3 linked regions of the Rhinolophus ferrumequinum genome follow. Each later gene encodes a partner of the first gene's protein in a complex. Links are inferred from orthologs where the notes say so. Each region holds a gene or a part of one and is shown on either strand. Other genes may lie near its edges. The genes, in order: EED, EZH1 and JARID2.

Evidence for each region.
Region 2: the proteins of EED (region 1) and EZH1 are in contact, whole or in part, in a cryo-EM structure (PDB 7KTP), measured with the Homo sapiens proteins. The link is inferred for Rhinolophus ferrumequinum from reciprocal best matches to the Homo sapiens genes EED and EZH1. Residues at the interface, in NP_003788.2 of Homo sapiens: Cys84, Val85, Asn86, Ser87, Leu88, Lys89, Glu90, Asp91, Trp103, His104, Ser105, Lys106, Glu107, Val112, Arg120, Leu123, Tyr124, Gln129, Gly130, Glu131, Ile132, Arg133, Leu134, Leu135, Gln136, Ser137, Tyr138, Val139, Asp140, Tyr154; in NP_001982.2 of Homo sapiens: Gly37, Ala38, Lys39, Leu41, Tyr42, Val43, Asn45, Phe46, Lys48, Val49, Gln50, Lys52, Thr53, Gln54, Leu56, Asn57, Glu59, Trp60, Leu63, Arg64, Val65, Gln66, Pro67, Val68, Gln69, Ser70, Met71, Cys83, Thr84, Ile85.
Region 3: the proteins of EED (region 1) and JARID2 are in contact, whole or in part, in a cryo-EM structure (PDB 6C23), measured with the Homo sapiens proteins. The link is inferred for Rhinolophus ferrumequinum from reciprocal best matches to the Homo sapiens genes EED and JARID2. Residues at the interface, in NP_003788.2 of Homo sapiens: Pro95, Phe97, Tyr148, Arg306, Asn307, Tyr308, Cys324, Asp362, Ile363, Trp364, Tyr365, Arg414, Asp430; in NP_004964.2 of Homo sapiens: Pro109, Gln114, Arg115, Lys116, Phe117.

Annotation. Positions count from the first base shown.
Region 1 is NC_046294.1:59,083,433-59,094,403, reverse strand, and holds the start of EED (polycomb protein EED), read right to left. Parts: upstream 4,994-10,971; 5' UTR 4,146-4,993; coding exon 4,032-4,145; intron 1-4,031. UniProt on the Homo sapiens protein: Polycomb group (PcG) protein. Component of the PRC2/EED-EZH2 complex, which methylates 'Lys-9' and 'Lys-27' of histone H3, leading to transcriptional repression of the affected target gene.
Region 2 is NC_046304.1:38,409,238-38,419,726, forward strand, and holds the start of EZH1 (histone-lysine N-methyltransferase EZH1), read right to left. Parts: upstream 4,040-10,489; 5' UTR 3,990-4,039; coding exon 3,983-3,989; intron 3,567-3,982; exon of another isoform or gene 3,263-3,566; intron 3,144-3,262; exon of another isoform or gene 2,880-3,143; intron 2,855-2,879; exon of another isoform or gene 2,431-2,854; intron 1-2,430.
Region 3 is NC_046292.1:79,352,520-79,362,906, forward strand, and holds the start of JARID2 (protein Jumonji), read right to left. Parts: upstream 4,572-10,387; 5' UTR 4,014-4,571; coding exon 3,969-4,013; intron 1-3,968.

The sequences.
Region 1 (10,971 bases):
CAAAACTGCAAATGGTACCTACACCAAAATAACATGCTTTAAAAAAAAATACACCATTATTCTGGAACATACAATCTGGGGTGAAAAAAGGAATAAAGTATGGATAGATGGCACACAATAACTGCTCGATAAAAATCTGAATTGTAATTTAATGTAAATGTAAAATTTTAAAGTTCCTAGGTTGAAATCACTGTTTTTCTCTCCCAATTTCTCCCTACCTTTCCGTTTTATTTAGGTAGAATCGAGTGTAGAAAACAATTTTGCATTTCAATGGAAAATTATGCATTATCTTTATAATACATTCTTCCATGTTATATTATAGCCCTCTTAGTTGCCTTTAAACAATTTTTCATCTCTTTAAGTTGTAGATCACTGGTAATACAAATTTTCTCTCTAATGGTAGAGGTTCAAAATGTCTTCCCTTCCTCTTAAAAAAAATTCATTTTTGTCTCCATTTGGAATTTCACATTTACATTCTTTCAATCCATGTAAATTTGTATTGTTTGACTTACATTTGCCTGGTTCCCTCATGAATAAAATAAAATTTTAACACGTTCACTTACTTTTCTGAAAATTACCTTTTAACAGTACAGAATGAAATAATAGAACTAGCACAAATTTTTTCAGCAGCTTCTGTTTTTTTATTTAAATTTATTGGGGTGACAATTGTTATTAAAATTACATAGATTTCAGGTGTGCAATTCTATATCACATCATCTATAAATTACATTGTGTGTTCACCACCCAGAGTCAGTTCTCCTTCCATCACCTGATCCCCCTTACCCTCATCACCCACCCCCCACCCCTTTACCTTCTGGTAACCGCTAAATTACGTTCCCCAGATTAATTTTCAAACCCCGTGGCCATCCTGTGGTCACCGACTGCCCTTCAATCCCTTCACCCGCCCCCGCCCCCCCAGCAGCTTCTTTACTTTCTGGCTAAACTCAACTGCTAATCAAGAAGCCAAACAAAACACTGTCTATAACAAGGCACGTTGCATTTCTTTTCTTCCTTTATTTTTGAGCGCTTAATTTACCCATCTTCTCCAAAGGCATATCAAGATGGAATCAAATGGAAATGCAATGTATTCACAACCATTTCATTTTATCTTTAAATTAAAATCAAACCTTTGTTGAGTGTCTAGTATGTATACAGGCTGATTTTCACCTTGGCCCCTCCTGAACGTATAAAATGACACTGTGCAACAGATATGGCACTATCATCTTCATTTGCCCAACAAGGAAACGAAGTAATTTGTCCCTTAATCTTGCCACAGATTACTTAAGCAAAAGACAAGTCTCCAAATTTAGCCCTCTGATACCACCAGGCAACCATTAGTTCTCTTGAACTAACTACTCTGTAGTCATACGATCTTTAAAAAGTTCAATAAAATGGCAGATACATATATAATAAACATATTGAATGTTAACTAGACTTATTGTGGTGGTCATTTCACAAGGTATACAAATATCAAATCATTATGCTGTACACCCAAAATTAATGTTATATGCCAATTACACCTCAAAAAAACAAATGTCCTTTTAATCCTGATTCACTTAAAGTAGCAACTACTCAGGTTACCTTACCTCCAACTCAAAAACACCACATCCTTTCCCCACTTGCTTTTGGTCTTCTTGTCATCATTCAGCTCCCTCAAGAGTAAAACCACTGCCATTGTTTGCTTTTTCTGAAGTCATTTTTTTTTTAACTTTTATTTATTTTAAGTGTGTTTTTCCAGGACCCATCAGCTCCAAGTCAAGTAGTTGTTTCAATCTAGTTGTGGAGGGCGCAGCGCACAGTGGCCCACGTGGGAATCGAACCAGCAACCTGTTGTTAAGAGCACCGAGCTCTAACCAACTGAGCTAACCTGCCGCCCCGCGGCCGCCCCTAAAGTCATTTTTATACAGCATTCTCTATTCCCTTCCCTTAACCTGTGTCCAATATCTGTGTGATCCTTAGATAAATTCCTAGGGCCTGTGAATTGAAATGATCCAAAAGAAAACAAAAGGCATTTTAATTTTCACCACCTTTATCTGAAATTCAGCACTTTCTACTGTAATGGAGGTAACATACGTACTAATGTTATTGTAGCTGTGACTTTCTTACCAATGGAAACCAGGTATTTTTATATCATATAGCTGTTGCAGACCTCAAATATTATGTATCCCCCTTACTATCAGACGTGCCGCTAGATCTAGTTACTTAATGTGCTAAAGAAGCACTTTAAACACTTTATATTAAAGTAGTTCAATTAAAACAAATCTTAAATTTGTTTTTAAAATATTTTTATAACATATTTTAAAATTTTATCACTGATTTTGTATGTAACCTCATATACTTTATACACTTAAAAAATGTTATTCTGAGAAGGCTTCACAGTATTCATTAAGCTGTAAAGAAAGTAAACTTTCAATTTATTTGGTCCTTGGAAATCTTCCTCAGTCTGACTTTCTTAATTACATTTCTGCCTGATCGTTTGTTATGTGGAAGTCTACACTTTGTGATCACAAAATAACTAATAGTAATTAAATAACACTTCTATAAACTTATTATGAGACAGGCATTCTTTTAAGCACTTTACCTATACTAACTTCATTTAATCCTCACAAATACTCCACGAGGTAAACATATTACCTCCATTTTTAAGAAACTGAGGGAACTAGCTCAAGTACCTTGCTCAAGGTCAAGCAACCAGTAAGTAGCCGAGTTAAGATTTTAATTTAACATTTGGATCCAGTGTGTGCTCCTAATTACTAACCTAATTGCCTAAAAAAGGCAGAAATAAAACAGGCTCCAAGGACTGGAATGAAAGGCATAAAAAATGCTATTTTTTATATACATATATAAAATTGGGAAAAACAAACAAAATTTAACATGCAATGCCTAAGATTTCCAGAAATTTCAAGTCCAAATCCCACAAACTGACAATTTCCTAAATATCTTTCTTCTATTTACAAAAAGAATTCTTTTCCACGTCTTCAGTGAAAATTCTGGTCATGACACCATGCCACATATGCTTCAACAAGTGATGTAATTGAGATGCAGAATTTAAAAACTGGGTAAGAGGTTAGTTACATCTATTCCTAAAACTAGCCAAACTGAGAAAATGAAGAACTTAACACCACCCTCCTATAACACTTTAAAGATTTTAAATCGACACTCAGACATGTATCATGAAAAGGGGTTCACATTTTGGAGTAATTAACATCTCTGAATAAACTGTCAAGACATTTTGCTGACTTTATTGGATATAAACTTAAAACATGAATGAAACTGACAATTAATGTCAATTCGTTTATTACCTGCGTCTCACCTAAACACAATTGGGACTAGATGATTACCAGAGTTCTTTTTTAAAAATCCACGAGCCCACACCTAAAGACATGTCCCTTCACCACCGTTGCCTAAAATCTTCCAGTTTGTCCCCTTTATCTTTGTAAACTCTTTCAAAAGGCTAACCGTCCCTTCTCCTTCCTTCCTCAAGGAGGGTTTCCCCCTCAAAGTCAGAAGACGACCCTCTCAACTCTGCTCCTCCTTAAAACAGCCGACTAACCTCCACGGACAGGATGGTAGCAGACACAAAACCCCCTTTACAATAATCACCGAAACTCCTTAAGATCTCCTCTTCCCATCAGCTGTCTGCAAGGGTCTAGGAGTGACATGGTCCCTGAATTCCTGTAAAAGAGTCCGTAACATACCCTGGCCTTTCCTTCTAACTTTCTCAGAAAACCTCTAAGTTGCCTTTTAAACTACTGGAATCTCAGCTCCGCACTCTCCCCAAATCCCCCAAAGGCCCAAACACTCCCCACCCACGCAAAAGGATCTTTCCGCCAAGTTTCTTCTTGCTTTCGGCCCCAACTCAAACCCCCACAGAAACAAGTTCGATTTTCTCCTCCACGCCCGCGTTTTCCTGAGTAGAGGGTGACACCTCTCCCTCCCCCCACAGCCGCCCGCCCCCGCTTCTACAGTTTAAAAAGAATTTAAAACTTTCACTCCAGAGTCCCATCCGGACTGCTCAGGGCTCTACTCACATTCTCATCCCCAGAGAGGTCCGGGTTGCTGTTCTCGTCGCTACTCAGCTTCTGCTTCTTGGCCGCAGGCATGTCTGTTCCCGCCGGGGCTGTCGACACTTCCCTCTCGGACATATTCCTCCGCCTCCCTCCAGGTTCCTGCCGCCTGGGGCGGGGCCTCCGCCACACCGCCGTCAAGCAAGCCCGGCCGGAGCTTGCCGCAAAGTTGCCACTGCCGCCGCCACCTCCACCGCTCCCCCCACTGTCGCAAACCGCGCCCAGCCGCCGAGGCGGGCGTGCGTGCGACCCCGCCACACTGCTGAAAAAGGGGCGCGCGCTCGCGCGCCCTCCCACGCGGCTTCCTGGCTGCTTCCCTCTCCCTATTCCCGTCTTGCCCTTTTCCCGCCGCCCTCCCGGCAGTTTGCAGGGAGAGGTGTGACCCGTTGGCTTTCGAGGGCAGTATTTAGTAGGTCCCCCTTCCCCACTACCGCCTCGAAAAAGGAGAGGTGGAACTCAAAGGGATGTCCCCTCACCCCCTTCCTCCTTCCAAAGACGTTTCAGCCGCAATTGGCCCAATCCTTCGATCCCCGACCCGCTGCAAGGACTCGAAAGTCTGTGGAATGGACTAGACCACCAATGTCCCAGGGGACGGGGAAGATATGAGAAATCACCTCTTGCTTTAACGGTGTATGTCAAGTGTCCTTAATTTTGAACTCGGAGGATAACGCTCTCACATTATTCATGGTATTGTTTACTATCTAATTTTTTGTTAAGAATAGAAATTCAAAAACTATAGACTGCTTCTCATGTGCCTCCCCCGCCAAGCAAATGGAAGTTACCCGCTAAGATGTGCGCATGCGCCGGGGCGTATTCTCGCGCTGGGTTGCCCGAACCCGCCTCCGTCAAGCCCCTCCTCTTGGAAGTCTTACTGAACCAGGTAGTCTTCCACCGGGTTTCCGTAGCCTAGGGTGGATTTCAAAGCGCTACCAAATCATAGTCTATGGACGCATCCTAAACTCTTGATGAATATTTATTCTGATGAATATGTATTGCGATGAATGATTGCCCTCACCCAGTTGGTGCCAACATTGAGTAAGGTTTAAGTAGGAATATCCAAAAATTACATTCTAGACTCCAATGAGTTACAGCCCAAAGTGCTCTTTTTAACTGTTACACAGGATTATCAAGGCCTTGAACAAGGCCCAGGCCTAAAAATCAATGGTTATCTCCAACTATGTATGAGACTGTTAAACGATGGACAATATTTTTTGGCGCACCAGATACGATAAAATTTTAGAAGTAGGCAAGGAAACTATTCACCAAAAAAGTTTATCTTTAAATGTTACCATGTCTAGGCGCTTGACAGATGCCAAATACATTGGTGAGCCTCGGTGGATTTGTTAGATGGGTCATTAAGCCACAAAACCGAATGAACAGCAGAAAAAGGAGAATGACAAATAAGAACCCCTCTCCCTTTTTTTATAATTTGGTTGTGACTATTTTGGGGGGCCTCTTTGCCCTCATCTGTAAAAATGAGAAGACAGGAAGGGACCTAACATTTCTTGAGCACCTACTTGATATTATATTTTTTCTTTCTTAAAATTTTATTTACCTATTTATCTATCTATTTATTTATTTATTTATTTTTAAATGCGAGGTGTTTCCCGCATGGTTTGTCTCTTCAGTCATTGTCCACAGGACTCTGAGAAGCTGTAGGAATATGCAGGCGCAGACTCAAGGCTCAGCTTTATCTCCAACGTTGTGGAAAGGGACTGTACATCATGGGGCAGAGCCCTATGTTCCCCTACACCACTTGGACAGAGCCCCTGGGAGTGACCTCCTGGAGGTACCCAGTTGGATATATATTTTTCTCTTTTAAACCTCATTACATCGCCCAAAGGATAACCAGTATAGAGTACCCCAGCCATAAAATTCTAGGGTACTGAATTACTTCTGCATGATGCCTTAATAGAGAAAATATCTGCAGATTGCAAGGTACTCTTCCTTTTGGAGCTAAGAGAACTCAGTTAAGAATGAGAAAAGGAAGGTAAAGCAAAGGCAGGGCAGATTAAGAGGTTTTTTCAATGAAGACTCAAGAAAAACAAGGAAGCTAAAACAAATGAAAGTTCAAGTCTTAGTAATGTTAATTGCAGTAATTTGTTGAACTCTTCTAATGTGCCAGGCACTGCTAAGCACTCCTCAGTTGGTGAGAGAGACTGACTGGTATGGTGTCAGACTCGTACGGTATGGTATGGTTTCTTAATTTTGAGAAAGTAAAATGTGCCTTTGTATGACATTTTCATGCAGAGAAACAGCAGAGAAACATACTCCCCTTGTCTGTTGAGAAGAATGTTTGTGAATATATCTCTACAAATAAAGGATAATCAACTAAAGCATTTCCAAACCAAATTAAAATGTGTGACATCAGTGGGAGCTGGGAAGTAGGAAACAACTTTTAGTAATAAAGTTAGAAAAGTGCTGAATATTTGGGTAAAAGACACATATGGAAGGATAATGCCTTTCAGCAAGCATGTTATGGGTAGCAAAGCAAAAATATTTTTAACTATTGTTATTAAAACTTGGAGGGATATTTTTAAATTTTTCTGATGAGTCAGGGATCATAAATGGAAATCAGTTAATATTCATTATTACTAATGTTAAAAAAAAGATTGACACTTATTAAAACAGCAAGGAATTTTACCAGGGATTATTGTAATAAGTGTCAAGACTATTGCAGTGAGAGAGAGAGAGATAGGGCTCAACTCTGAATACAGAAAGGCGAGGGTTTTTTAATCCAGGAGCAGAGTCGGGGATGAAGGAGTTCAGAATGTGCCACCACAATATGCTGCTTGGTATATTGATTATTTTGAACTGAAGGTACTTGAGAAACAAGTATGCTCTGAACTCCCCTTATCTGCCTAAAGACAGACCCTCCAAAAGGAACTCAACTGTCATAAATCCCCTCCCCAGGAGTTTCATCAAACAGGGAAAATTGACTCTTATCACAGAAGAGATTAGAAGTCCATACCACACCCATTCATCTAAGGGCCCATTTATCTTTCCAAACTGTCATTTACTCTCCCTTACGTGGTATACATCCCTTGCTTTCCCCTACTTTGATGGTATGAGCTCTCAAATCTCACTGCTTTTTTTTTTTTTTGGCTATCCACTTTTTCCCCCTGTGATGCTCTTGCACATGCAATATTAAAAATTAATAAATTTGTATACCTTTCCTCCTGGTAACCTGCCTGTTGTCAGTTTATTTCATAGATCCAGCTATCAAACCTCGGGGGGTAAAGGGAAACTTTCCTCCCCTACAGGGATTGGTGGGTGGAAACTTACTAGAGGAGACATCAAGGAGAGGGGGCTTCTTCCTAAAGCAACTTGCCAGGGTGATCAGATACATCGAGGGTGAGGGATGAGGAATTTGATCAGTTATCAAGGGTGATCAGATAACAAGAGGGAAAGATTCTTTCAACTGACTTAGCAGAATTCTTACTACATCTGGACTAGGCAGGCAAAGACTCAGGCGCAATGCCTAGTTGAGAGGAGAACTCAGAGGAGCCTGACCAAAGTTTGTTCAAGGAGAGAGTCTTTGTTACTAATTTCACATATGTAAAATACCGCAGGTTTCCTATTCAGCATGCTATCTTTATGGTATTAATTTAATAAACACAAAAGCTTAATTACCTATTAAAAAACTGTAAATTTTTAACACTGAATTCTCCTACTGTAAAGGATTTCGGGAGCCATCATAGGTGGAGAGGTATTACTACCCACATTTCACAAATGTGTGAACTGTGGCTTAGTGAAATCAACCAATTAGCCCCCAAACACAGCTCTCTTCAAAATAGCTAGGGATCTTATTTAAGCATGACTGATTGAAAAACCAAAGTACTTTTGCCTCAAGATGGACCCAGTCATCTCTAGGTTTATGTAATTCTTTTCTCAGAGCTTGATCTTTAGACCATGTAATCTTTCATACACTATCGAAGGACATATAAAAACTGTCTTGCTTGGGACAGAGAGGAAATAACTGGAGAAACTGGGGAAATCTAAATAAAGTCTGCAGCTTAGTGAATAGTTACGTATATATTTCAATTTCTTAATTTTAACAAATGTACCATGACAATGTAAGATGTTAACAGTGAGGGAAACTGGATGAGGGGTATACAGAACGCTCTACTATCTTTGCAACTTTTCTGTAAAAGTATCCCTCCCCCCCAAAAAAACCTCTTTAGTTCTTTTTTTTTTTTTTTAAGTGGATCTAATATTAGACTGCTGAGACCTCTAGTCAGAAATGCCTTTTTGCCTTTAAATAAATGGTTGTTCTACCTTGGAAAATTTTCAAAGATCAATTATTTATAAAGAAAAAGAAAATTCACAGCCTCGGTATTGTCTTCTAGTATCTTTTAAGCTTCATATCAGGAAATGAGTTTCAAAAGCTAAACTAAATCCTTCCCATTTCAGTTGAAGTCTATTTCTCATTCACTCAACATTTTTTTGTCTTTTCAGCTTCATAGCAGCTGTTCATCATCACTCATGCAGTGTGTAATCATATGCTCACAGATCCAGTTTTCTATGGATCTGCGAGCATATGAACAGAACATCATATGGCTTCTTTGAACATTTTAAAATCAATCAGAAGGAATTTACTGAATGTCATTTATGTGCAAAGCAGTATGGTAATTGCAGGGGAAGGGAGGAGATAAAAAGGGAAAATTAGACACAGTCTCTAGTACCTTCAAAAAACCTAATATTCTTCCTGCACTACAAATGCCTCATGCATTTAATAAATGTTTACTGAGTACCCACTATGTGCCAGGCACTGTTCTAGGTGCTGGGAATCCTTGATAATAAGCAAAATCAGACAGTTTCCTATTGTCCTATACTCATAGGTTACTGTTCACTGGGGGAAACAAACATTAACCAAATGTTCGCACAAATAAATACACAATTACAACTGTGGTGAGTACTATAATATGATGGGGAAGTACAAGGTCAGGCTGCTGCTTGCCAACATTGTATCTTTGTACTATTTTTTAAAAGGTGCCCCATAGAAACAATCCAGAGTAGGCAGTGTGTGGCACGCAGACAATGCCTTTGATGAATTAGAAAAAGGCAGCCCTTCTGGGTTGGCACAGGCCTGCTCCTGTGCAAGGCTTTGTGTGTATAGCACAAGCTGGATTTCAGCCGTTATCACCTCAGCTAGGAACCCTTGTTTAGATGAACAATTTACACAAGCATACATAGCAGCCCTACAAACAGTTTCGTGGACACATAATCAAGTGAGATTTGGGAGGGTTTCCCTGAGGAACAGACAGAAGAATTAGAACTAAAAGAAGAATGGGAGTTAACCAGGTGGAAGGGAAGAGAAAGAGAAACATTCCAGGGAGTGGTAACAGCACGTGCAAAGGCTCTGGGACAGGCTAGGAATATATGCCACTGGGAAACTGAAAGGTTAGTGCTGGTAAAGGACTGAAAAAGCGACAGGAGCTTGGTAACAGGTAATGCTAGAAAAGTAGAGGTCAGATCATGCAGGACCTTGTAGACCATCTTAAGATTACGATGTAAAAATATATCTCTTGCACAGAAAGAATTAGATAAAACACAGAAGGAATTAGAATGGCATTTATTCTATTTCAATTTTTTGTTGGAATTTCATTTATAATAGTGAAACGAACAGGTCCTAAGTATACAGTTTGATAAGTTTTGACATAGGGGTTGGTCAGTGTTTCCCTAGTAGAATCTGAGAGGCAGAGACAATCCAGTGGAGGCAAATGCTGTTTTACAAACACTAGAAAAAGTACACTCTATTGTGGATTAAGGAAAGTTTATGGAAATCTATGGTAGATTTCAGTCAATAAAATCTCCCTTTACGACTATGGAATGCCTTTGCTTACCAAGAACTGCCTTCTGATTGCTAGTTAACTTTTCTTGTTTCCTTGGTAATAGGAAGGAAGTGTGCTAAAGAGTGGACATTTGTTACTTTAGTCATTGGAGACGTATATTCCACGGCATAACTTTAGTACTTTGGCATATGATTTGTAAATAGGTGTCTTACTAATCTGAAAGGGAATGGATCGTGAAAAGCCTTATGTCATTGGTCTGTAAGTAATGGGTGGCCAAAGAAGAGTTTTTCCTTTGGTAGACAGCAGGGCGTAAGACTGGAGACAGCGAGATGAGTTTCAAAGCTGTTGCGACATCGCAGATCTGAACCAAGGCAGTGCCAACAAAGATGGAAAGTAAGGGGTTGTTTCTAGAGGTATTTCAGAAATAATATCAACAAGACATGGTATGTGAGGGTTGAAGCGAGAGAGTCATAGGATCACTTGGGTTTATAGCTGGACCAAATTTCTAGATAATTATCTAAGATAGGGAAAATAGAAACAGGTGAAATTTTTAACTTTTAGTGTTGAGTAAATAGACTTGATGTAATTTTACTTTTTCCCAAATCCAAATATGGTCTTCAAGGATAAATGCAAATGACAATGACTATCATTAACCTAAGAAAAGAGTTTTGTTGTTGTTTTTTTAATGGAGACAATTCTATAATATCTACATAAGAATGTCCAAACCTCCTGAGAATTTTGTTTTACTCCTCTGTGCTTCTGTGGGTGCTCCTGGAATCCTCCCTCCTCCCCCATCCTTCAAAACTTATTTTAGACTTAACAATAAACAATTTTTATGAAAATTTCTTTGAGCCAAACAGAGGATCCACTCCCTTTTTGTCCACAATTCCAATGTCTTGTTCTTCCAGAAGAGGTTTGTGTGAGCATTAAATGAAACAATACATGTGGAAGAGCTTAAGACATTTATTCGTGCATGAAAAATTGTTGAATGATAAATTTATTTTGGTTTTTGAAATGAAACATTGCTCTTGTTTTAAAATCACCAGTCTTAATTTTAGGAATAATAATATTATCCACTATTTTCCTCTTGTACAGGTTTGTTTTTTAAA
Region 2 (10,489 bases), on another chromosome or scaffold:
CGTATATAAATTTTTACCTCAATAAAACTGATTCAAGAAAAAAAAGTCTTTCTTGACGATAAAGCAATCCAGTATTTTCTAGAGACTTACTATTAAAAATCTGTAGGCAATTTTACCTTTCTAAAAAAACTCTTGAATGACTTCAGAATGAATAATAGTAGAATGATCAAAATTGGTTCATTAACTGTAAAAACTGTTATATGTGTACTAATTAATATAAGATGTTATTAACAGGGGAAACTGGATGTGGAGTTTAACTGGAACTCCCTGTACTATCTCAACAGTGTTTTTGTAAATCTAAAGCAGTTCTAAAAAAAATAAAGTTTATTTTTAAAAAAGACTGATAATTGGAAATAAGAACTACCTTATTTACATGTTAAATCTCTACAGGAAAAGAAAGCTATAAAAACTTGGAAATCTTTCCCTAGAAAATTGGATCTCAGTTTGCTTCCAAGGCTAAAACTAGAATGTAGTCTGTCGCTAGCTGGAAATGGGAAAACATTATGGAAATGTTTTGGGATAAAACATTTAAGAAACAATATTCTTAAACTTACAGAGACTGAGAGCAGAATATAAAAGTTCCAAACTATGAAGTTCCTTTATTCACATAAAGTTGCCCCTTTGCAGAAATAGCTTGTCTTAGGGGCAAGTTCAATGTCTTGACTACTTTCTCTTTTATAACAAATAATTTTATTAACCAGCAGGCTAAGTAAGGCTTTGAGGCGATGGCACTGTAGACTTTTAACTTTTCCATGCCATTCTTCCCTTTTCAGTTCACGGTGGAGTAGAAACATAAACAGTAGGGGTGAACCTACCTCTGCAAAGAACTCTAGTCACACACAATTGAGTCATTTTGGTGATCACGAATTTCAATATCCCCATTAAAATCAACTCTGTAGTGGAGTGCACACAATGATAGATCAATCAGGATCTATTAAGCACATCTTTAATTTGTATCCTTCCACTTCTCCAAGGTATTTATATTTGTTACTAGTTTGCGCTTCTGGGCACTATACACATAGGGAAAAAACCTTACTAATAGGAAGCTGTGACCCTGACTTCTTATATAAAGTTATAGCATTAATACTGTCTAGCGTTGCTTTATGAAGAGAATCAAGTCACGTGCACTGGAGACAATGGTGATAAAAATCAAAGCAGGATTAGTTTTTAGGAGACACAAAGGAAAATGCTGGCCCTTAGGATATCCAATGCTCATTTAGAAGAGATAAAGGCCCTGTTAGGGCCCTCTCGGAACAGGCTGGAGCCCTACCTTGGTTCTGTACTAAGCTAGCATAAAGCTTAATGTTTAGAGACTGCTCATTACCAATTCAACAAAATCAAGACTTTTTAGTTGTTCCATTTTTGAATCAAAGTATTAGGGCAAGTGTGTCAGCGAACACAACACACCACAAACTCCAACTACCCATTAAGAAATTCCTAATTTTAAAGTTTGGAGCCCTGAAATCCCACTGACAGGCTGATGGACCAAAGGGGTAGGAGGAGCCCAAAACACAATTTGAACAAATTAAAAACGAAACAAAAAAAAAAGCCGAGGACTTTCTGGAATGGAGGTATTCCCTAAAAGCAGTTTTTCCCCATATACCCTCCTCTGCAATCCTAATCTAACCGGAATAATTCTCACCTTTCTCCACATGCCTTTTCGTTTTTCTCTTTAGTTTAACTACCCGATGTAGAAATGTAATGTGCTTTTAGTGTTGCTGCCTCAAACCTTTTTTGGGAAGTCGCTAGTTAACAAAGCAGAAACTTTTAAGACTTAGGCCAAGACAGAAAAAAGTTATACTACGTAACTAAATGAATTGTTACATGTTTCAGATAAAGCACAAATCAAGGGCAGGAACTGTTACCCACAGGACTAAGAAAGCCAGATTTCAGATATCAAAAACTAAACAGACAAAATTAATATTTTAAATGGTTTTTTAAAGGCGTGCTAATTCAATGGCAAGTAAGATAAGAGAAACAAGTCTGATTACATTTTCTGACCTTTTCCCTTCTCACAAAAGTCGTTTGGGGAGTAAATTTTCATTTTTTAATCCTAGGCTCCTTATTCTAGTGCTGTTTCAAAGAGAATTAAAGTAATACCATAATGAAGAGGTCATTTCAACCTCGGGGAGTTTTAAACTTGTACGTTGGCGGGCGGCCCGGTGGCTCAAGCGGTTAGAGCTCCATGCTCCTAACTCGGAAGGCTGCTGGTTCGACTCCCGCAAGGGATGGTGGGCTGTGCCCCCTGCAACTAGAAATGGCAACTAGACCTGGGGCTGAGCTGCGCCCTCCACAACTAAGACAGAAAGGACAACAACTTGACTTGGAAAAAAGTCCTGGAAGTACACACTGTTCCCCAATAAAGTCCTGTTCCCCTTCCCCAATAAAAAAAATCTTAAAAAAAAAACCCACAAAAAACAAAACTTGTACCTTGGCATCAAGTTCTTGGCATCAAGTTCCATGACTGGACTACAAGCATTCTGCCAGTTAGTAACAGAATTAGGATCCAGCCCCAGAGATCTGCCTACTATTCATGTATTCGACAAATCTGTATTGAGCACCTACTGTGTGCCTGGCACTATTTTAGGTGCTTAGGGTACATCAGTGAATAAAACAGACAAACATCCCTGCCCTGGAGAGTTAATTCACACTGTGATACACACACACTTACCATAAACCTTGACAATAATACGATCACTACATTTTTATATATGGTCCTTTCCTTTACTATAAATGTGATTTTTAAAAAGTATACATATCTTCTAACACACACTTTCTTCTATGTAAGCAAGTAAGCTCTTATCAAGGCCACATCAACCCAGCCCTGGGGATTCCAAGGCTTAAAAGGGACAAGCTCTCACAGAAACCTCTGACAGCACCTTTTCAGGCTGGAAACTTCATTCAACGCCAGTTTCCAAAACTTAAAGGCACCGGGTGGGGGATTTTTCTCTTCAAAGACGTCAGGGCAGCGAACCCGGAGGAACAGACCACACAGTGAATGCCGTCCTCCTACGCACGCAGTTTGTTCGTTCACCTCGGCTCCTTTCCTCATCCTCACCCCTCTAGCCTTAGATTACTCCGTTTACAATCTTACATTTCACCCGTAAAAACTGGCTCTCAATATTCCACCCGCGCGGCACTAACGTCCTTCCAAATCCCTTCCTCATACCCGCCCCCGAAACACTTTCTCAGTAGTCACTTTTTACCTAAATAATTTTGTCCCACTTTTCCTACGGTAACAGGCATGTCCCAAATACAACACCTTGCTTTTGCTTCACGGCGCTTTCCCTTTGATCCCCAGGAGAATCCCGGAGTGGGCAGGGGTTGGCGCGAGACCAAATTTGCAGAGCAGCAGCCTCGTAACTCAGGACTGAGGCTGGTGAGGCTCGCGGGGCGCCCAGGGCGCAAAACCTCAGGAGGATTCCGCTTGGGCTCGGTCCCGAGTGAGCGTCCCCTACACTTCGCACCTCAGGACCTCACTCACCTCACCCTAGTCCCGACCCTGTTTTTACTGACACCCTTTCCTCCACACCCCCCAAAGTCATCGCAAGCCGAGCACCCGTGTCTGGCCCTCAGGGTGCACAGCCCGAGGTCCCTGGGAGTCCACCTCGCTAAGGGCCCCCGCTGGTGCCACCGCCCACCCGCGCCCTCCATAAGCCAGGGCTCCCGCCCACCCGGCCCACCCCGCCCTCTAACGGGATTCCCCGTCCCCGGGCCCGCCCCCGCCGCTCCTCCTCCTGGACACACCGCCCTCCCGGCCTCAGAAGCGTTCTCGCCAGGGGCTCTCTCCCCTGGTCGCCCCCTTTCCCCAAGTCCTCGGAAGCGGGTGTGGGCGCCCCGCTAACCCCGGCCAGGCAGGCAGTGTGCCCCTCCGCTTCCTCCCAATTCCCTGACCCCTTTGCCTCTCCTTCTTTCAGGTCCCGGGTGGCGAGGTGCCGAGGCCCGGCCCCAAAGCCCGGCCCGGGCTTGTTTACTCACTCACCCTCCATCCCGAGCCGCAGGGACCCGCCGCTAGGACGCCTGCGCGCCGCGGCCCCGCCCCCGCGCCGCGGCCCCGCCCCGCGCCTCCACCGGCGCGTGCGCACTGCGCCGCCCGCCCTGCAGGTTGGGCCACCTGAGATTCCTTTTTCACACGTCTGTCATTTGGCACCAACACCCCCCCCTCCCCCGAACTCAGAAGTCCGAGGTGGTGCAGCCCGAGCCCGATGGTTTCCAAGGCGGCGCTATCAGGGGACAGGAAGAGCTCTTTCGAAACTTCGAGAAGCCACGAATATCTTCTTAAAGACCTTATCCAGGGTTGTACCATCCTCACATGCCGGTGACAAGGCACATCTCACTTCAGTATTTGAAGCCAACTTGGAACCCCTTCATACCGATCCCTCACACCTACCAATACCCTTAAAGACTCATATGGGCTCTAAGTAACCCTTCTTGCTTGATTTACACCTGACTCCCCCATTTCTGTCAATAGTTTTTCTAGTTACCTAGATTCAAATTAGCCTTGTATCAAAGGATCTCCTCAGAAGATACCTAGAAGTTACAAACGCAACTAACTTTACAGGAGAGAAATTTGGCAGACATCATCTTGATCAAGTGATCAACATTAACATCGCTAGTGATGAGATATTTTTATTAGATTGGGTACCTCTCAAGATGGTGCAATGAGGGCACAAAATCACATTTGTGGTATTCTTGAAAAAAACGCATAAGCTGAATTAAATCATGAGGAAACATTAGACAAATCCAAACTAAGGGGCAACCTACAAAATAACTGACCAGTATCTTCAAAAAATGGCATGATCGTGAAAGAGAAAAGGTGAGGAACTGTACCAGGTAGGGGGAGACGTGACAACTAAATGTAACGTGTGATCCTGGATTGAGTCCTGGTCCAGAAAAAGGATACCGGTGGGATAATGAAATTAGAATACAGTCCGTAGATTAGTTAATAATATTTTATCAATCTTAATTCCTGGTTTTGGCAATTATACTTCCTCAACGTTTAAGAAAGTTGGATGAATTGTCTACAGGAACTCTCTACCATTTGCATCTCTTTTGTAAATCTGAAATTATTTCAAACTATAAAGTTAAAAAATTAAAACTTAAAATACAAAGCTTTACCTTAAATTTATCTCCAACTGCCTTCTAGATCACTGCTTCTCAAAATTGGCTCACATTGAAAATAACCTGAGGAGCTTTAATAACTGATGCCTTCCTCCTACTCCCAGAGGGCCTGATTAATTGGCCTGGAGAATGCCCTGGGCTTCACCAGTTCTAAGAGCATCTCAGATAATTCCACTGTGTGACCAAGTTTGAGAACCATTATACCACATAAATAACTGTTGGGGAAAAAAAAGAACGCGCGATATCTAAGGAGAGATGTTCAGAAGATCTGAATGTCAGGACTGAGACTGGAGAGAAATCTGGGCACCATTGACATAGTGATGGTAACTAACACCATGGCAGTGGACAACATTGCTTTAGGAGAGTATGCCAAGTGACAAGAGAAGAGATACAAAGAAATGTTGCAATAAAAAAGAAAATATGGTTATAGAAATATTTTGAGGTGGAAAAGAAGAAGGAAGGTGAGGAAACTTATGTCAAAGTTGTAGATCAGAGCCCTGAAGCCCAGCTCAAGCTCCACGTCTTCATTAAGCCTTCCAGCCCTCCCGGGTCTCCCGTGCTTCAACTCTAGGACACTTTGCACTCACTACCATGCTGTATATCTTTTTCATGTCCACCACGACAACTTGGCATAGGACTAATCCTTGTTCACTGGAAGATTATAAAAACAACCTTCCACATTGCCAATAAGCATTGGGTTCTTGGGGAAATTTTGTCTGTCAACTGGTTCTTCCTCATTGTGATGAGATGGTTTTTCTGAGACCAGGCTCTTTCTTAGCTAACCATGGTCCATGCGAAACTATCAGCCAATCTTTGTTTGGCCAGCTGTTCCTCTACAACTTTTTCTTTTCCAACCCTTTAGGTCTTTGTCCTATAAATTCGTAGAAAAACTGTTGGCAAGTGGTCAGCAACTGGACCTCTGAAAAACAGTACCATTACCTCTGCCCCACTCCTTCCAGCCCCACCCCACCCCGCCAGGCAGTTAATAGGAGAAAGGAATAACTTTGTCACTCCTGGCTTCCAGTTGGTCATTTTGCTCTTAAATTGGAGGCCTTTGGGGCCGAAAGAAACTGGACAAAGTGTGCTGAGTAGCCTAATAGAGCTGGTTCTTTGTGAAAGTTCCCTAATGCGGAAAAATAAAATTATGTGTTTAATTTCTGAAACCTGATGCCTGATTTGCCTTGGCAGCCATTCTCCTGGGCTTGGCAGAGAGTCCGGCAACACTAGTATACTGATTAATACCAGCTCAGCTTGCTCCCTGGAGAAAAGTATTATTTATTTGACCATTTTCTTAAATCCTTTTTAATTTGTGTGTATTTTAGCATGATCTTATTGGCTTTAACATGTTGTATCTCTGACCACTGGCGCTAATGAACCCGTAGGGAAGACTGTTCTGCTCTGTGCGTTCACATTCCCAGCACAAAGCAAGATTTTGTTCTACCCGGTGATTAGAAACGACATGTCACGCGTTCTGTTCCTTCTGGGGCAGGCAAGTTCTAAGTGTACTTTTGTCCCGCGCTGGTCTTCAGGCCACTGATAGAAAGGGAAGGAGATAATGCTTCCCAGAATTCAAACAGAACTTTCTGCACTATTCCTTCCTCCCTGACAACCTTCCTCGCTTCCTTCCAGCCCCCTTTGGATGGTGACCCCTTGACTCATTCTGCCCCTCCCATGTAAAGCCCACAGGGATATCAAATAGCATTTCTCTGAGGGGATGCAGAGGACTGAGGAAAGGTTGGGGCCCCAGACAGTCCCTGACAGGGAAGTGTAAACACAGCTGTGGAGATGGGAGCAAACCATCCTCCCTCCCCCAGTTCCCACCCAGAAGCAAGGAAGGCCACCCTGCTGTGGGGAAACAAACAACAAAACAAAGCGAAGCACAACCTAAAAGCCTGTATAAAGATCACCAGAAACTGGGGCTGCTGCTTAGGACTTGGTGGGGCCAGCTCAAGTGCCAGACCCCTCCCTGAAGACTTAGAGGTAAAGGCAGCTCCAAAGCAAGTTGGGGCCTGGACGTTACTGAGCCTGGATACATGGCTCAATGTTTGCCTCTCCACTCCCGGACATTTTGTCCTCTGATCGCAAAAACACAGCTTTCCACCCCCAGGTACTTAGCTCCTGACCCCTAGTGGCTCAGGGATCATAATAATGCATTCGATTCAGCAAGTAACAACAGGTCCACAATAAACCCTTGTCCATGGCTGTTATAAGTTTAAACTCCGAACCTCCCAGCGAGAATATTAGAAAGGGCCTCCTTAGCCTTTGTTAATTACAAAATAAATAATTCCAGTAGGAAGGGACTTTCTTTTTTGGGGATCACTGGGGTGGGAGCTATGCCTTGCTTTGTACATACTCTGAAAGCTCCAACCCCACAGCTAGGGCGGTGCTGCCCATTTCTTGCTCTCTCGGCACAGTTAATGTAGGGCCTTGATCCCACAGTGGGACACGCCTTTGGCACGGCCCTGCCTGGGAAATAACCCTGATTGGCTGGACAGCTAATGAGCTGTGCTTCCTTTCTGGCCATCAGGCTTCTCAACTGTAAAACTGCAGAACTAGAAAAATGATAATGGCCTTCAAATACTGACCACTCATTATGTGCCTGGCAGTGTGCGTAAGTGCTTTAAAATGGGTCATCTCATGTCATATGAAGTCAATAATATTCTCATCCTCATTTTACAGCTGAGGAAACTAGGGTTTAAAGGGATTCTAGAACTGGCCCCAAATCACCCAGCTGGTAAACGGTGTGGCCAGGATTTAAGCCCAGTCATTCTGACCCCCAAACCCACGCTCTGAACCACTCTACTTGACCTCTTCCTTTCTCTGAGGTCTTCTAGCTCTGACATCATGATTCTGGATCCTCTCCATGGCTTTCTGCTCTCACCAGTGGTGCCAGAAAGAGAAATAAATGTGTTTGGGACTCAACTCCGCAAGTCCAGAAGAAAATAGCTCCTGAAAGGCAGGGGGCTCCTTACTTCCTCTGTACTGGAGATACCAATCAAAGCTGGACACTCGACAGACCGTCATATCAGCAGGAACAGCCTGTGTGGAAGACAAACAAATCCTAGCCAGACAGGAAAGGGGAGTGCCTCTTGGTTCTGTGACTTCCCCTTCTGTCTTCCCTGGCTTATCAGCAGGGTCCCATGCTTCTGATGCCATGGCCCTTTGAACCCCACTGTGGCTAGGATGGGTACAAGGCTACAGAGACTCTTTTGGAGCAAGAAAAGTACAATACATACAGCTACAGATTATATCCATGACACCGCATGTAAAGGAACAAAAATAAATACACTTATTTATTTATTTAACAAGTTGCCTTTAGCATTCACATAATCACTAGACATTAGACTGGATGTGAACCTACATCATCTCATGTAATCCTTGAAAGATGTCTGAGAAATAGATATTGTCATCCCCATTTTGCAGAGAAGGACATTGAAACTCAGGGAAATTGACATTGGCCATGGCCACATGGCTGGAAAATAGGAGAGCTGGAATTCAGACCCAGGCTGGGTCTGTTTGATAACGAAGTCTGTATTCTTTTCAATAAAAGCAGTGTTAAGTAATGTAAAGGACAAAGTTCTAAAACTGGAAGGATCCTAGAATATCTTGGCAATATAATTGTTGTAACTATACGTGTTATACATTATGATAGTAACTACCATTGATCGCATGCTTGCTAGCGCCAGTCATTGGATCAAACAAACGCTTTACATGCATTATCTCTACTGCTCAGTGAGATACATGCTAGTAACCCCATTTTTGCAGATAAGAAAACAAGCTCAGAGGAGTTAAGTAACTGCACAGGTTACATACAGCTAAAAAAGTAATAGTGTTGGGATTCAAACTCAAGTCTGCTTGATTCCCAAGTGTATGCTCTTGACAACTAAGGCAATAGAAATAATAGCAATCTACATTGAGTCTGTAAAGAACTGCTCTAAGAGCTTTAACTCTTATAACTTATAGATATTATTGTTCCCATTTTACAGATGAGGAAAACATGGCCTTTTATAGTACTACTTAAGGTCATATTACAAACACTACACGTGTTAAAACACATACATTATTAGTGTCATATTTGCTTAACATATATTGGATCCTTGTTATGATCTAGAAAAATGATTTATTTCATAGTGTCATGGGTTTTTCTCATTGTCCATTTAATGCATTAACCCCCATTAAGGTCTTGGGGGAAAGGATGTGAAAAGCTACTGTCTGTAGGTGAAGCAGGCATAGTCAGGAGAGGGGTTGTACTGAGAGGGGAAGGCCCTCTGTGCCATAAGGAGCCCTATCTGGTTGCTCTCTGGACACGCTTCCTCATCCCTTCCTATTTGACTCTGTCTAGCAAGTCAGCTAGCAGGTGGACTTCCGCCAGGTATTGTGGAGCAGAGGTGAAGTGTCCAGGATTTAGCAAGAAGACCTGGGTATCAGTATTAGTTGCATGACCTTGGATATGTTACTTAACCTTTCTTTCTTTTCTTTTCTTTTCTTTTCTTTTCTTTTCTTTTCTTTTCTTTTCTTTTCTTTTATTGGGGAATATTGGGGAACAATGTGTTTCTCCAGGGCCCATCAGCTCCAAGTCATTCTCCTTCAATTTAGTTGTGGAGGACACAGCTCTCAGCTCCAAGTCCAGTTGCCGTTTTTCAGTCTTTAGTAGCAGGGGGCACAGCCCACCATCCCATGCAGGAATCGAACCAGCAACCTTGTTGTTAAGAGCTTACGCTCTAACCAACTGAGCCACCCAGCTGCCCCTTACTTAACCTTTCGAACCCTCAGTTTCCTCATCTGTAAAGTGGGTTGCTATGGTACCTAATTTAATTGGGAGTTTAAATGAAACATTTTGTATGAAGTATTGAGCACACTGCATGCCATCCTCAGGGCATCCCCATGTTATACAACATCCAGCCTCCTAGAGTGCTGGGAAGGGGTAGAAGCGTTCCTGGGGATGGTTTCATAGGACAGTCCAGGAATGGAGGAAGGGTGAAAGCAATCATGGCATCTGGCGTTGGGTCCTGACAGCAACCATGAGTCAGCCTCAAGTGCTGAGGGACCAGCAGTGTTCTCAGTACTGCTGGGCGTGTGCTGTGGTCACTTGGCCAAGGTCCTCTTTCTGATAGTTGTTCTTGTAAATCTGCCTTGGGTTTTTTCTTTTTTTTTCTTCACAAAAACAGCCTCCACCATGTGACGTCATGGTCCAGCCTGGGTCAGGGAAAGAGGGGGAGTAAGTTGTGTGCAGGATCTTATTTCTAGAGGGGTCAATCTGGTTCTGGAAGAAACTCTATCTTCCCTTCCTTTCAAGACTCAATAAGGAATCAATATTCTGATTTGGAGTGAGAGGGAGGTGACAAAACATAACAGTTAAGACATGAAG
Region 3 (10,387 bases), on another chromosome or scaffold:
AACAGTAACTTAAATTGGATTATTTTTGCACAGAATTTATTTTTTCTTTCGAATTTCAGTGACACACTTTGGACTCTTACCTTGACAGTATTCCTTCCGTAATCATAGCTGCTAAGTAGACTCTGTCCTAGATTTGTATGACAGAGAGAAATGTTTTCCACTACTAGAGACAGAGAAATGAAAGGCATGTGAACAGCCCAAGAAAGGAAAAAGACAGCAATTAAAGTATGTGTACAAGTTTTTTGCCCCCAGAACTGTGTGCAAAATAACCTGACTGGGTGTAAAACAAGGCGGGCGGGGGGACGGGGGGAGGAATCATACATAAATCCTACCACTATATTTTGGTGTTATTTCTACTTTTTTCTTTACAATTTTATGTAATTGTAATTATAGTAAACCCCTCTCTTGAATCTTGTAAGAAGCTTTTCCCAGTTTTTTGAAAGTCATACTACACTTTTAAATCAGAAAATGAAATACTTAAAAAACTTACAGCCTAGTGGTACAAATTCTGCTTGAGCTGTCCTAGAAATCAAACTGGTAATTTGTTTTCATGCTAACTGCATAAATCATATCTTCATATGGCAGAGATTTTAATTTCAAATTCATACCTGCTATGAAGCATCACAGATCAAATGGTTTTGAACTCTGGATATCGTATCTGTTATTCTCCCTAGGAATAACCAACCAGTGGAGTGACGGAAATGGCAGAAAAATACCCATAGAGCAAAACATAAAACTATTTTTATTGTCCAAGTGGATTGGGGCTTTGAAAGGCAAATGTTTTCAGTTATTTAAGGTGCTGTAGTGGGAGTTGTGCCCAGCACAATTAAGACAGGATTACATTGCAATTTATGAGTTTCTCAAGGATGTCATTTAATATAAAATGTAACAATCATTTCTCCCAAAGCCTGTCTGTCATCTACAATCCCACCCCCAAACTCTGCTTTGCTAAGGCAATATAAACTAAATGGCAACGCAGCAGGCATCTAAGGCTTTCGAGACCAATTTTAAGAAATGTGCTGCCTTCCACCAGCTAAAGTAATAATGCCACCTTAGACAGAAAGAGCATACTGTTTTATATTTTTCACGCACATCATCATCTCATGTACAGGATCTCAGAGAAAGTGAAGTGGCAAAGACAGGTATTACTTTCTCCATTTCACAGAAGAGGAAATAAACTCAGATTGCGAGCCTTTTGCTGTCTGGTTCAGAAGAACTAAACCTGGAACACCTTGAGACTTTTTATTAAAGAGTCCAGTGGCTCTTCCAAGCACAGGTATCAATGGCAAGTCTTCCCTGGTCTAGCTCCCTAAAAATTACTCAATAGGCATGGAGCTGACACGGCAAAGGAGTGCCCAACTCCCCTCCACCCCGTACTGCACGGTTTCCAGAAAGAGCAAGTTTCTGCTGCGCACCATCACCCAGAAAGGCGTCCCGCCACATCCTGCGAAAACACGTGAAACATGACTAAAGTGACAAAGTGGCTGACTCCACCACATGTTCCTCCTATAAAGCAAAGCTTTCCCTGAATGAAGTTTCCTTGCTTTTCTAAAGCGTTGGTGAGCAGACCCAACTACCACAGTAGTAATGTCACGCCATCAGCAGACCTGGAAACAGAGAAGTGAAAACATTTCTGCAGGAAGGAGGCGTCTCCCCGCTGTTCCCCATCCGCTCAACGGATCAGAAACACAGCTAGGCGGGGGCACTCTTTTGGGGAGGAAAGGTTCCCAGCGCTCACCTGCAGGGCAGCGCAGCGTTCCACGGCGGAAGACAGAGGCCGAGCGCATCCTCCTCCTCCGCCCCCCGCAGCCCCGCCGCGCTGGAACCTCCCGCCCGACTTTTGACGTCACGGAGGAGGAGGAGGAGGAGGACGTTCCACCCCGGCCCGTCCCTTTGTGACGTCACAATGACAACAGAACGCGGCCCGGAGCGTCCCGGAAACCGGGCGCAGCAGGAGGCGGGGGAAGGCAGGGGAGGCCGGCGCGAGGCGGGGGAAGAACCGGGGGCGGGGAGGGGGTGCGCTGACGTCTCGCCGGCTTAACCTGTTGCTCTCAAGACTGCGCTGGAACCGCCGGGCCGCCGCCGCCATGCTCCGTGGTGCTCACAGTGGGGGCGCCCGCTGCAGCTGTGCGCCCTCACCCCCTCCCCGGCACGCCCCCACCCGACCACCGCGCGCTCCCACCTCTCCCGCGACACAGTAGGCCAGGCCGTCCCCCCGCCCCGCCTGCCCGCCTGGGGCCGCCGGGAGCCCAGAACTGGGAGCCCCGAGACCGAAGCCCGCCCCCTACAGGCCGCGCGCGGCCACCCAGCCTCGGCCCAGCCCGCCGCGACCCCCGCACACCCTCCCCTCCGCGGCAAGCTGGAGCTCGTCGAGAGCACGAGCTCCGCTCCCACAGCCTTAACTCGTGCTCTGCCTCCGGCGGCCGCTGCCAGCCACGGGATTGCGACCGGACGCTCGGACTCCACACGATCCGCTGACTACTAGCAACAAAATCCCACCCCACACTGTTCTCCAACTTAGCGGGGCCTGGGATGGGGGCAGAGAGGCGGTCCTTGAGTCCAAGTTCTACCCCATTTGCTTTGTCGCTGCACCCGAATAGGACGTGCCCTGGGAAGGCGTCCACACTCCAAGGCAAGGGTGTCTCCATGCAGTTTCTACAGCCCGAGTTTAAACTAGTCCTTTACATTCTACCCGGCCCTCTGCAATGCGGATGTATTTTAATTCTTAAATTCTTAAGGGAACAGCTTTATAAGTAGGACTTGATTATTTAACCTTGCATTTCTTTCATAGTTAAAGTTTACGTGTCTACACGAGGATCGGCCCTCTACAAAAAGGCATTCAGTTTTTCCATTAAATATATTTTTTACAAATATGCCCCGAAGGTCATCTCCCATTACACATATTACACTGCTCAAAAAGGGAAAATATTAACATTAATTTGACGACTCAAGTTAAATAAAACTTTATAATAACGCTGCATTACTCCTAATGTATGTTCATTTGGCCTTCTTTTAGAAAATGGGTTCTTTGATTTAAAGTATGCAGCTAATCACCGATCACTCGAGCGCATATTTGGTTAATCCCTCGGTCCCCCCTTCCCTCCCTCCCCCCAAACTTAAAAAAAAGCCACCACACACAAAACAAAAACAGTCCCCATGCCAATCAAAACGTAGCAGTACTATGCACAAAACAAATTTAACTATTCCAAACCATTTAAATCTCTGAATAATCACCCAATTTCAGAAGCCCACTTAACAGGGAGAAATTATTTGTAGTCACTCACATATGCATTCACGTGCCCACTTAAAAACATTAGCTATATTGTATGTCTTTTTCCCCTAAAACTGGAAACCATGAATTTTTAAATAAAACCAGTCCCATTATTAAAGTCAATCCCAACAAATGAATTCGCTGTAACATGATTCCCAACTGGTTTATGTAGCGAACCAGATAAGCCAAAACAACCACATACATTAAATTTGATGTGCCAGTGCAAGGAATAAGATCTCCATAATCGGACCCTCGATTGCAACTTAAAGGGCTTCCAACACACATGCGTTACACGATTTTCCAAATAACATTAGTAATAATAACATAGGCTCATTTGCATGCAAAGTGCAATATGGGGCCAAACCCACCGGAGAATGCAGTTTAGTTACCTTACCGCAGCCCCCACCCCACTTCCAAGCTCCACCAAAATCCCTTGCCTTTCATCTAAAACTAGATTATGGTTGTGTCATTCGAGGTCAATTTATTCACTTGAGGTATCTCCACACCAATCTGTTTTTTTTCATCCAAACTAGGCAGACACGACTTTGCCTGAAAAGCCCTCTTTCAGAAAAGAAAGAAACAGCCTTATCGGACGCTGTGTTTAAAACCCTTCAGCTGCAGAATTATCTATAAACTTGACATTCACAGCCATTGCTTAAAACTGCAAGTCAAAGGATGTGTTGTTAGGAACACTTACGTATTTCTTCTGAATGATATTCCTCTTGGGTCTTTCCTTGCTCATTCTGAGATCCAAATGCTGATTGCAAAAGGGGACAATTGCTTCATGAATTTAAAGCCGTCAGAAATTTGCAAAAAAATATCCTGGTGGTTTTTATTGTTGTTGGTGGTGGTTGATCTTGTAATCCGACTTTTCTTCCTCTTCCCCCAAAGCCCGATTCGCCTTGAAATAAATCCGAAATTGGGAAGCAAAAAAAAAAAAAAAGAAAAAAAAAAGAGCCAAAGACGAACGAAGCAAACAAAAAAAAAATTCACTTTAGTAAAACACTCATAATGGAAAATTTCCCCCGAAACACACACACACACAAAAAAAACCGACGCCCTTCACTCCCCCCCTTTTTCCTCCAAAAACTACATCAGCGAAACGTGAAGGTCCTTAGTGTCTGATCTGTAGTTACATCTTGGAAAAGAAAAGGGAAAGATAAATAAAAAATGTTGGAAGTCACGTTTGTGCTGCAGCAGCAGTGCGAGCAGAAGAGTCAACTCCAGCGGCGGCGGCGGCGGCGGCGGCAGCACCACAGCGAGGGCTCGCCGAGTCTCTTTTTTCCAAGCCCCCTAACCAATGAGAGAGAGGCTATCCAGCCCAACTTTAAATGGACTCTGCTTTTATACAAGTTAGGGCTCCTCGGATAATTCCCCTCCGGAAGCTAGCCGAAAACTCTCACAGCTGAGCCACCAGGCGTCTGCCAACCTCGGCGCCGACCGCCTCCGGCCCAGTACAGAGGACCCCCGCAGCCCCGTCGACAAGACACCCAAGATGCTTTGACGAACCCTTCCCGGGCAACCCTTCAGGCTTGTCTCCCACGCCGAGCCTAGGAGTGGAATTTAGAGAGGCTCCCTAGCTCAATGCATGGCACGCTCGGTCGCTCCACCTCACCCCCTTTCCCCAGCTTGCCGCTCACCCCACAGCTGCCACACGCTAGCACTCGCCCCTGCCCTCAAGTCTACCTGCAGCGGGGCTGCTGGGTACGAGTGCCCCAGGACGCCCGGCCCCGGGGAGAGCCGCCTATTCCCGGGGCACCTTAGAATGGTCCCCTTGATCTTCTGGAAGTTGTAGTCCCCCGACTACAAAATGGCTATGGCTACGGGAGCTGGGAACTACAATTCCCAGCCTGCCCTGCAAGCCTGTCACTCAACTCCCCGCCCCCCTCCTTACCCCCTCCCCCCCACCGGCCCTGCCAACAAACGCTTGGACGTGTCCCGCGTGCGACACTGCTAGAGGCTGGCTCGGGATTGGCTCACAGAGCTTGTGGTCCGCAAGCAAGGAACTCCCCACGCCGGCCCGCCCCCGCCCCCTGGCCCCGACCCCCTCCTCCGGAGGCGGCTGGCCTCCTCCCCGCGCGCCCCGCCCCCACCCGCGGCGCGAACCGCCTGTGGAATCGAGGAATCGCGCTCCGGGCCGAGCCGAGCGGCGGGGGAGGGACGCGAGGTTCCCCGGGGGAAGGCCTCGGAGCGTGGCAGCGCTGGGGGCGGTGTCAACGAGGGGTTGGAGCCAGTCCTAAGGAAAACTGGGCCACGCACCAAAAGGAATCCTCGGTGCGAACTAGTTGATCGGCGGCGCCTGCTGCCTCTGCCGCGCCGCCGGTGTCACCTCAGGACACCGCCTTGCGTAGTCGCACAGAGCGTACTGCGGTCGGGCCCAGGGTAGTCTGAGGTCACCCCTGCCCGCGCCCCGTAGCCGCACGCGCCCCCACGCGCGTGTCGGCTAGGATGGCCGTGGGGAATGGCTACCTCCCGGCACGGCACGCGGCCGGGCAGAGAGGACGGCATCGGGGGTGGCCAAAAAGGGGCCCCCCGCGGCTGCCTCCTATAAAAGATAACCGACTTTAAAGAGCTCGAACGTGATCTTTGCCGTCACGTATTTTGCGTCGGGGGTGCCCATGAGCTAGACTAAAACGTTGAGGTAAAAAAAATGAGTGGAATATGGAGATCGAGCCACACAGACATGCAGACTGTAAGGAAGCATCTGGAACACCGAGTGCCAGGAATATCAAGGGCGGTAGCCGCGCGAGAGCCTGCTTTTTTACCTGCCTCTGCCCCTGTTGCGGTTGTTTAATCGCTGATATAAATGAAGCATCAAGCCCTGGTGTACCTCTTCGGGCCTTCGCTTTATTAACAACTTTGTCAAGTCTCTGGTAGTCATTCTGCATTATTAATTTCCCTATTTTAACTGGTTTTAGAGAAGTACTGTTTTAAATTATCTCCTCTCGGACTATTCTCTGAATAAAGGAAAAGTGGGATCAGTGCACCCTCATACTCATTCCTATACATTTTATTCTCCTTCCCACTTCTTAGATTCTCCTCGCCTTAAAAGGATAAATACTCGGGTAACACCATTACGTTTTGTTTGCAGCAGTGTTTGAAGAGAGAACCATTGTGTCTAGAAAGGTCTCAGAAACTGGAGGTAAGACACCTGGATTCACATCACCCCTTGGCCACTTCCTAAAAGGCAGCCCACGGCCTCTGATTTTGTCCGTTTCTTCATCTGTGAACTAGTGATGATCAAACCTTGTGGGGAGGATTATATAATAACATTAACCTCGCTGAGAATCAGACAGGTTTATTGGAAACTTTCAGTAAATGAAATAAAATGCTTTTTCAAATGCTTTTTAATTATTCACCATTTTAAAAACAATGCTTTCTAAAATGAAATGCTTTTGCCTTATATTCATTGCACAATCAGAAAAATGAGTGACCTGTGCTTCAATATTCCAGAACTTGTTTGCTGGTGCCTTTTGCAAGGAAGGGCCCAGCAGAACAGACCCCTTTTCGGTAATGGCCACCCAAGTGATTTTACAGTTGGGTTACAACCAGGTGTGTTCAAAAGTCTTTCAATGATTATAACCTGTAAATTGGAGGTCTCCACTTGTCCATACCATGTTACGGTTTTAACCAGCTTTCTGGAGATTTCATGTCAAATCTGTCATTCCTCAGGCAAAATATTGAAAAACAAAGGTGGATTTCTTCTTAGTTTCCTTAGCTAGCCCCTGGGCTTCTCTGTCCTGGACCTGGGAACTCCCCTGCTGGGCTACCAACTCCAGATCACCACATATTTAAAGCCATTTCCCTAGTTGAGGCTTGAGGGTAGGGGAAAGAAAGGAATCCGCTCAAATCCAAAAGATCTAGATAACTTTAGTGTTGTTTTCCCTGAAAAGGAAAATAGATTGGCCTTTTTACCATCCAAAGCCTTTCCTGTTGTAGAAGTAACTGTCTCCTGATGAACTTCCTTTTCCTGCCATCTTGGCAAGGCCACATATTACCTCTCCTTTCTTTTTCCTCCTCTTTTTCATTTTCTGGAAACCTAATTCACTTTTCTCCTGATGATTTAACTCCTCACAGTACTTCCTTGACCTCATCAAGTCCGGGAGTGGGAGATGGGAGGTTGGAGGGAAGACCTCAGTAGGTACACAGCCTCCGTAGGACCTGTGTGCCAGCGCTGTCCTCATCCCTGAGGACACAGAGAGCCCAAAAGTCCTCAGTAGAAAAAGCAGACTTCACAATCCATGGTGATACCCAAGTGCTGTATCAACTATATGGGAAAGGTGCTAAAGGGAACACAAATATTAAGCTTACATTTTATCCTCTTTATATCAGTTACCACTCCCGGAATTAGGGAGTTTTGAAGGATGAGTATGGGTTCTGCAGTTTAAAGTAAGCTGAACAACTTTCCAGCGTGAAAAAAATCATGAGACCTAAAAAAGTATACCACATTTATGGATGGAATTCAATTTTTGTTTGGGAGTGACTAAAGATGAGACAGAGGTAAGCGGGAGCAAGGACCAAAAAGGTTTTGTATGCCAAGCAAAGGAGTCTGGACTTTGCCTGTAAGCTAAAAAGAGACTTTGAAGGATTTTCACTAAAGGCAGAAAGCAGATCTGTGTTTTTCAAAAGTAATTCTAATTGTGTGAGAGGTGAAATCGAAGATTGGAGAAGAGAGGAAGCAGAGAGACCTAGAAACTAGTTGCAATGTTATTGCATAAACGAGGTAACAAGGGATTATAATCTGAATGCAGTAGCAAAGGAAATGCCATATAGAGCAGAGAACAGGTTGAGAAATGTTTAGCATGTCAAAAGTCCATAGGACTTGGGAATTGGAGGGAATGGTGACTGATTCCTTAATTTTACATTGTTCTTTTGATTAGATCAGTTATCCACTCTAGGAAGAATGGAAACATGTTGGAGATGAAAGAGGAAAATCGGAGCAAATCATCAGACACAAATAAGAGCAGGCACTCAGTGTTCTGGATTCAAATCTGCATGGGCAATCATATTTAATTAAGCATTTTAGTCCACCATTTGATTTACTGTAAGAAATGACAGGGAAAGAAAGTTAATAAAGACCAAGTACAGAGGAATAATCCACAGTCCTATGTTATATGCATATTGAAATTTCCCTGTGAATGCAGGGGTTAACACAGGATATGCTTCCAAATACCAATCAGATCCATGGTTCTAAGAAATAACTCAGGATTCATCTTCTCCAGTAACCCTTCCTTAAGAGCAGATTAACCCCTTTGCGCTGTATTCTTACCTGCTTACGTTCACCAGTTTGGTCTTAGATTCCCATCTCCTTTCTCTAAATAAAAAATAAGCTTCCTAAAGTCAAAGACTGTTGTCTGCTTCTCGTGTTCTCCCCAAAGCTCCAGAAACTTCGTACAATTTGGAAGTGTCCAGTAAATGCTTACTTTGAATATTTCACCAAAACTACAATGCTCAATTATTTATTGCCAGCCATTTAGTTTGTTACTATCATTCCAGTTCTATTCTGGAATACAACTATAGTCCCCCTTGCAGCACCCAAATCCAATCCAGTCTTGTACAGTCTTCAAGGCCCGGAGTCCAGCCTTATCTCCAATTCATCCTGGCTGCTTGGCTTACTCATTCCTGAATTCTCATTACCCCTGTTACTTCAGCCACATTTCTTAAAAATATAAAAATATGTATATATTTAAAATGTACAATGTGATGTTTTGATATGCATATTTATTTTGTAATGACTACTCCAGTCAAGCTAATTAACATATTCATCATCTCACATAGTTACCATCAGCCACATTTTTGAGCTTTAAAATTCTGTTGCCTCTTGTCTTGTTTTCTGATTCTGTCATTTATACATCTTGTCTCTCCTAATTCGATCAAACATATCATGGGGCCATGATCTGTCTCATCTTGAAGCAGCCCTTGGCAATGAGGCCAATTACTGCATGGGAATCAGATGTTTCTAAAATGAACAATCTCAGGGACCTGAAGCCACTCCTGTGACCCCTCTGGGTTTCACCTTCATCATCTATGTCAGGGTTAAATTCAATCATCGCCAAAGACATTTCTGGATCCAACATACTCTAATCCTACTTGGTGACCTTTGTGCTCTGCTTCCTTCCTCCCCCTCAGTGCTGGCCGCTATGTAGACTTACATACAGTTTGTTGAGTAAGGATTTCTAGGGCAAGTTTCTTTATACTCCGATGTTATTGATTTCCTAATATAACTTTATACAGTTGACCCTCTTTAAGGGGGCACGGAGGGCCCATCCCGGGACTTTTTCAGTTGACCCGCGCAGTTCGAACCCGCCGAACCCGCCGCCGTTGTTGTGTCAATTGGCGGTTGAGAACATGGAGAGGGGGAGGGGAGCACCGATTTAAGGTATACTCGGATTTTCGCCTCGAGGGTGGTGGGCCTCCCCTAACCCCCACATTGTCAAGGGTCAACTGTATTTCTCTGTGATATCACATGATGCTTTTCATTTGTGTAACTTTTTATAGGGTTTAAAGGACAGCCATAATAATGTCATTTAATCAATAAAACAACCCAGTTTTAGACAGGCCTTGTCCTTACTCTTCCAATGCAGACACGAAATATTAAGAATTTGTAATTTGCTCAAGGTCGTACAGCCAGTAGGGTGGCAGAGCCAGGAGTCAAGGTTCTTTGTGCAGACCATCTCCCTGGTATTCAAAATGTGATCCAAGACCTTATTCCATGAAATGTTACTGACTCTGGCTGGAAAGGAAAGGATGCGTTGATGAAAGAGATTGAGAAATTGCTAATTTACACAAAGATAACCTGATTACTTTACCGCAGGATTTTTAAAATCCCAAAGAAGCATATAATTTTCCAAACTTATTTGGCCACAGAAACCTTTTTTAAAGAAGGAGCTGGTATCCACAGAATAATCTTAGAGACATGCTTCACCCAAGATGATGAATTTATGCTTCGTAAATGATTGCTGACTGACAATAATTCTTACCCAAGCCACTGGATACTTTATGTGCAGTTTCTAATTTTGTATAGGTCTATCTTCATATGTGGGGGGAAGGGAGTAAGGAGGAGGGATGTAAAAATTAATCTTTGACTGACATCAGATTTATAAATAACGATGAGCC